Bombyx mori: one gene and its partner. The protein of the gene in region 1 purifies or fractionates together with the protein of each later gene. This does not show direct contact. Links are inferred from orthologs where the notes say so. Each region holds a gene or a part of one and is shown in the gene's direction. Other genes may lie near its edges.

The links.
Region 2: the proteins of WASH complex subunit 3 (region 1) and F-actin capping protein beta subunit purify together in Homo sapiens (co-immunoprecipitation; 4 studies listed by BioGRID and IntAct, with this or other methods). This does not show direct contact. The link is inferred for Bombyx mori from reciprocal best matches to the Homo sapiens genes WASHC3 and CAPZB.

Annotation. Positions count from the first base shown.
Region 1 is NC_085118.1:943,589-946,946, forward strand, and holds WASH complex subunit 3, read left to right. Parts: upstream 1-973; 5' UTR 974-1,122; exon of another isoform or gene 1,123-1,169; intron 1,170-1,256; 5' UTR 1,257-1,329; coding exon 1,330-1,386; intron 1,387-1,543; coding exon 1,544-1,708; intron 1,709-2,091; coding exon 2,092-2,364; 3' UTR 2,365-2,737; downstream 2,738-3,358. UniProt on the Homo sapiens protein: Acts as a component of the WASH core complex that functions as a nucleation-promoting factor (NPF) at the surface of endosomes, where it recruits and activates the Arp2/3 complex to induce actin polymerization, playing a key role in the fission of tubules that serve as transport intermediates during endosome sorting.
Region 2 is NC_085109.1:2,867,099-2,870,978, forward strand, and holds the start of F-actin capping protein beta subunit, read left to right. Parts: upstream 1-855; 5' UTR 856-1,003; coding exon 1,004-1,006; intron 1,007-1,129; coding exon 1,130-1,514; intron 1,515-2,334; coding exon 2,335-2,534; intron 2,535-3,054; coding exon 3,055-3,166; intron 3,167-3,880. UniProt on the Homo sapiens protein: F-actin-capping proteins bind in a Ca(2+)-independent manner to the fast growing ends of actin filaments (barbed end) thereby blocking the exchange of subunits at these ends.

The DNA of each region.
Region 1 (3,358 bases):
TTTTGAATTCCTCGATATTCAATAAATTGATATTAAATTAATATTATATTATAAAATGGAATTTAATGAAAGAAGAACACATCGAGTAGATATTAGATGAGTTGATAATGAAACAATGGTGCTTACTGAGAGATCAACGAACTTATTTTGAAAATATTCTCGAGTGGCAGCCACACACGACGCAGCTTAGATAGACTTTCGACGAGGTGAACTGACGTCCTACTGAAAGTCGCAGGAATCTAATAAATACGGTCGCTGCACGTCTAGGAGTGGATGATTTGTGTGAACACGTCCAATGTTTGTTTGATTTTTTAAAACTTGTGCCATTTCACATGTATTCAGTGATTAAAAAGCTTTCATTACTACAAAATTAGACATTTTATTACAGATACATTCGCGAAGCAGTTGCCCTTAGCTGTTAGATCTCCTACGGAGTCGTGGCCAGGTCAGGCCTTCGGTACTTTGGAGGATTGGCTTGTGCGGCTTTTCGAAGCCTGCCTTGAGCCCGGACGGAAATCGGACAGATTCATCCTTCTGAGGAAAGAGGAGCTCCTCTAGGAGTCATCCGTGGTGTACCACCACATCGTGTTGCTGGACGAAACTAGAAAATTGTTGGAGCAAGTCGTGGATGCGTCATCTGCCCCATCCCCAGGACGGGTTCCAATCGGTCAGCCGAACAGTACGGCTTCAGAAAGGGCCGGTCTACCATCGACGCAATCATGCGTGTGTGTACCCTCTTTGATGAGACTGTTGCCCGGGGCGAGGTGGCAGTTTCCTTAAAGTCTCAGTAAATAACCATCATTTTACTTAGATTTCACGCCAATTGATTATTGTTTCAAATTAATCAACTCTATTTCATTTTACTTCATATTATCATTTTTCATAAAATACAATGATAACTTAGGCTGTATCGTATGATACTTTTGCCTTTCCAGTTGGAAAAATAGAACTACTACAAATATTGACAGTGGACAGTAGCACTATTGTCAAAGAATAGTGTTATATTGATAAATGTAAATTAATGATAATAATGTCAGACTTAGGTGGTGGTACCGTACCTACTGTACCTACTGAAATATTCCTTTTAATTTGCTTACATACTCTTTTAACGTAAATAAATAGGTACGACTGTCACGGAAGGAAAAAGATTGTTATTGTAAAATAATTAGGTGCTTTTTATATTAAACTTAGTGTAATTAAAACTCGTGGACCTATTAGTCAATGTATTGAAATGTAATTCAATTTGGTTTTTTCAGTAGAACAAAACAAATTCAAGCTTCCAAACCACAAGACAAATTTCTTTTTCGTCTTGTTTATATTCTACTGAAAATGACCATCCAAGAAGATTTAACTCAATCCGAATCCCCACAAACGGATTTAACTAAGGTTTTAAATTTGGAATTATTATTATTTGTTGTAAAATTTAATGCAGTACAAACTTCACGGCCTTGATTATCTTTATAAACTTCCTAATTCTAGAAAACACAATATTTTTTTATAAATGAGAATAATTTATTTTTAATATTTAAAAAACAAATTGCAGGTTGCGGCATTACATCAAAAACGTACATTGGCATTTGTAAATCATTTCCTAACAATAAATGTACAATTTCTGAATAACTTTATGACGAATTGCGAGCAGAAACTGATGCAGTTTGAGAGAAAATTAGAAAAAGTTAATGCTGCCATGGTTTTGTTAGAATCTAAGGTGATTATATTTTTATAAATTATTGTATGTAAACAAAAACGGATATCTAAAATGTTTTTATTTTCTATCATTAGTCATAATAAACCATTTCTGCAAGACCTTCTCTGGAAAGCTGTTGATTGATCTGATAAAGTAAGAGCAGCCTATTGATATATTTGCAATGCATAAAGCTTCAATTGAATTAAAAAAAAAACGGTCTCCTACCAGATTAGAAATTAGACTACTACTAATTTTAAGATATGGCATCATTGCATTTCACCATAATCCTTATTCAGGTTGTGTTTATGCCATTTCTTTAATTGCCCATGTGCCTCAAAAACTTCATTTTAATTGATAGCATACATCAAACCGATACATAAATAGATAAAACTTATTGATTTCAGTTATCTTCAATACCAGAATTAGACATTCCTAAGCAGACAAATACAAGTAATGTTACAGAGACTGAATCTACTGAAAGTCAAAATGAAACAGAACTCCAAGAAGAAAATCTAGAAAGAAAACTAGAAGACCAAGCCCCAGCAGAAATGAAAACTAAACCTGAATATGATAAATTTGTTAAAATGGTTCAAGTAGGAGTGCCATTGCAGGCAGTGAAACTCAAAGTCTCGTTAGAAGGTCTCGATCCTGAAATACTGGAGCAATTAATAAAATAAAATAATATTTTATTATTTACATTATTGTGTTGTTAGCATAGTATGATCAAATAACCATAGTGTGTAAACCATAGTTTACTTTTATAGAACAAACAATAGAACAGTGTATTCTGTGATACCTCTAATCTAATGGGATCATAAGTGTAAAATTAATAAAATAAAATAATATTTTTTTTTTGTTTAATTGTAATCAACGTATAGTTTAGAAAATATTATCTTTTATCTATAAAAATATCATTCTAATTGTTAAAATTGTAATGTTTTTGTTCTTATCGTTTTAAATAATGTAATAGGCTCAAATATTTAAGTAGCATTCCTTAATATTTTTATGAAATGTTGAAAATGTTGTTTTTAATAAAGGATTTTATAATCATGCAAGATTATTGATCACATAGAGGTGGACCTAGAAAAAAATCATTAAATACTTCTGAAAGTTGATATATGCTTACTATTTTAATTAATTTATTTTGTGAAACATGTTGTATGCGATTTATTCCTTTTTTTGCAAATAAATAGTATTCTTATAGGGGTAGTAGGTGTATTGATTTATGAGAGATTTATTTGACGTAAAATTGGCCATGTCAGTTAGATTGTGTACAATCATGCTACAGAGATACTATTATATTATATTCTAGTAACAATAATAGGCACCTATAGGCATCAAATGTTGTACCATCCTAAGTAATTGCAGAAATAGTTCTCTGCCAGCACCCTGATAATAAATAAAAATAAGGCTGGCCATACCATTAATATTTTTATGAGACATATTAATTAATGCTAAGCATGATTTTTTTATTCCTACTCATAGAAGTTATAGTTATAGTATTACCATACGATGTGGATGGTAATAAAGTATAGGTGCAATAAATGGGAGGTTTTAAGGATGCATCTGGTCCAAAGTGGTGACCTTGATTACATATTGATAAAGTTCTTAGAGCAAAACCAAATTAATCTGAACTTTTTGTCGAGTATCCAATAAGATGCTAAAACAAAC
Region 2 (3,880 bases), on another chromosome or scaffold:
AAATATTTACGGAGCTAGCAACCTCATTAATGTATAAATAATGTGGTAAACAATAATAATTGGTTGAAAACTATTTACGGTTATTTTAAGTAATTTGGATTTCGATTATTTCATTAACATTTTTTTTCGTTTTGAGTATTTTTTAAATGAGTTCTAAGAAAATGATGTGTATACTTTTTAATTGAATCATCTTATCCAGATGACAGTGATGACGATAATTTATCGAGTGCTCCGAGTTTAAATCAATCAATTATTTCATTATCAAGTGATATATTTATTGAAAATATTTATGATAATGAAACAGATGAGTTATTTGAGCCATTAATAAAATCTCTGATGACAGGCAGTACTTTTGAGAGTGCTCGATTGTGCGAAGCGTTGCTGTAGTTGGAACATTCAACGTTGAGCATTATGCCGCATAATGCGCTCTAGTGCTGTTATTGGAAAACTATCCATGATACCTAGGGATGAAAGGCTGTTGGTTTAAACGAAATTTTTGCAACCTTACACGAGAGCCATTTTATGTTTAAAATTTGAAAAAAAATATCATAAAGAAACCTCTTCAGCTATTTGAATGTGGTAAACTTAATTGAAGCTCAATTAAAAACATCGATATGTTGATATGATACAAAATAAAATGCACCTTTAATTATAAAGATAAATGTCGCGTATTAATTGAAATGTCGCTTAAACTAAATAGCTACTCACCACCCGATATAGAGCGAAATGAATTACTTTATATTATTTTTATAAAACAGAATATGCAAAAGATTAGGTTAAATGACTTTAAAATGATTAAGTTAATCCCTTCGCCTTTCTAGTGAAAAAAATATAACTACCACTACATATGCAGGTACTTTACTAAACTTCAAGTGTCAAATTACGTCAAGTTATCATTTTCGGGTTGGGACTTTTAAAACTTGTAGTTATTAATTTAATGAAATAATTATACTACTTTGGTTATTTTGTTATTAATTGTTAATCCGAATAATAAAACTTCAATATGGTAAGTTGTCTTTCCAGTTTCAGTGACCTGGCATACATCATAACAAGCTATTTGTTGTGATGACTAATGCAAGGAAATTAAGAAGTATTTATACTAAAATCGTGCATATATATTTTGTTACAGAGTGACCAACAAATGGATTGTGCACTGGACTTGATGCGGAGGCTGCCCCCTCAGCAGATCGAAAAGAATTTAACAGATTTGATAGATCTCGTTCCGAGTATGTGTGACGACCTATTATCATCAGTAGATCAGCCTCTAAAGATTGCTCAGGATCGTAGCAACGGGAAAGACTATTTATTATGCGATTACAATCGCGACGGTGACTCCTATAGGTCTCCTTGGTCGAATACTTACGACCCACCATTAGATGATGGCTCCATGCCCTCTGAACGCTTGAGAAAACTAGAAATAGATGCCAACCTCGCCTTTGATCAATATCGAGAGATGTACTTTGAAGGTGGCGTTAGCTCAGTCTACCTTTGGGATATGGATCATGGCTTTGCAGGTGAGCACTCTTAATTTAGTCTCTGTAAATTAAAGACATGTATTAGAACAGTAAATTCCAGGGTGGCTGTGCATTACAGAAAAGTAATAATAGTATTTTTATTACTTTAGGGGGCAACTAAAGAAGACTAGTAGAACAGAAACTAGCAATTTTTAGTTCTTTTATATTAATCTGTTTGTTTGTTGAAGCACTTCTCTGGAATTTCTGAATGGATTTTCACTTTGCTTTCATATAGACAGATATTAATTTAGAGATCAATAAAGAGTTTCATAAAATTTAATTTTGCTAGAAAGTTATTGTTAATTTTAAATACTTTTATTATTTACTTTTATACTCTTTGATCTTAAAAGTTCTATAACAAATATCATTAACAATATGAAAGTAACTGTCTATATGTTATGTTTTCATCTCTAAACCAGTATGCCAATTTTTACAAAATTCTGTGGAAATAGTTTGAGCTCTAAGAATAAATATAAGCTATCTTTCATTTCACCACTGGGTATGGATCTCTATAAAGTGTAAAAACTACTTTTAAATAAAGAGTAAATAATATTAATTTGGTAATATTTTTATACTTTTAGTTAAATAATCTCTCACATAAAACATTAATCTTCATGTTTAATTGCATCATCTTTTTCATTCATTATTTTCATTGACACTCTATTTTAATTCTTTGAAATGATTAATGAAATATTAGTGTATATAATAGTATTTTATAGTATAAAATACTCATCTATACACTAATATTTCATTATTTAGTCCACCTTTAAATATTTAAAAATAATAATTACAAATACAAAAATAAACAAAACAATTTCAGGAGTAATATTAATCAAGAAAGCTGGAGATGGTTCCCAAAAGATCAAAGGATGCTGGGATTCAATCCACGTAGTGGAGGTGATCGAGAAGAGTTCAGGACGCAATGCTCACTACAAGTTGACCTCGACTGCAATGTTGTGGCTTCAGACTAATAAAGAAAGCAGCGGCACGATGAACCTTGGAGGCAGTTTGACTAGACAGGTAAATTTAGTTTTATTTTATATGCACAAAGCTTAATAATATTGTGCAGGAGTTCTATTTTTATATTTATGCAACAACAACAATGCAATTGCAGCCTCACAATTGCATTCTGGTACTGCATCCCCAAATCTTAATAAAATTATAATGCCATCATCATCACTATCATTCTCTTGCCCTACTCCCAGTGACCTGGGGTCGGCGCAACATGTTTTCTCCTTCCATACTCCTCTATCATAAACTATTTCTTCTTTACTCCCCTCTTACACATAATATCATCTTTCACTCAATCCATCCAATTTTTTTAGGTCTATCTCTCCCTCTAAAGCCTTGCACATTCACAGTTAAAACTCTTAACAATCTCATTGTCATTTCGTCTTATTACATGTCCATATCATTCCAAATACACACTTCTTAACTTCTCTGTCCCATGTGCCTCTTTCAGACTTTCTGTATTCTATCCATTTACTCTAAAATTATAATATCGTATTTTTAATATTATAGATTATCTTTTGAATTTCAGGCAGAACAAGACTCGACAGTAAGTGATGTGACTCCGCACATTGCAAATATTGGGCGCATGGTGGAAGACATGGAAAATAAGATCAGAAACACACTTAACGACATTTATTTTGGTATCAATTTTTCCTTTTAAATTACTTTATATTTAACAGACAAGTTATTGCCACTTTCAAATTTAAAAGACAAGTTATTGCCACTTTCAAATTTAAAATTCATTCTTCGTTGCACTATTTCCCTATTGCACTATTTCTATGTCATTACTTCTCGTAAGATTTTTCTCCACCTGTTTCTTTTTCTGGTGGTGTGGAGGGCGTTGTGAAATGTCGGACCATGGGCAGGGCGGATCTGGTCGGCCCAACTTATTGAGCCTTTCGAGGTTGCTTCCATTCTTCTTTACACTGTGACCGAAGTAGTCAAGGACTCTGCGAAGACTGCGACTCTTTGAAGTCGTTGTGGCCTAAAGGATAAGACGTCCGGTGCATTCATATCTAGCGATGCACCGATGCTTGAATCCCGCAGGCGGTTACCAATTTTTCTAATTAAATATGTACTTACAAATATTCACGATCGACTTCCACGGTGAAAGAATAACATCGTGTAATAAAAACCAAATCCGCAAAAATATAATTTGCGTAATTACTGGTGGTAGGACCTCATGTATGTCCGCACGGGTAGGTAGCACCACCCGCCTATTTCTGCCGTGAAGCAGTAATGCGTTTCGGCTTGAAGAGTGGGGCAGCCGTTGTAGCTATACTGAGACCTTAGAACTTATATCTCAAGGTGGGTGGCGCATTTACGTTGTAAATGTCTATGGGATCCAGTAACCA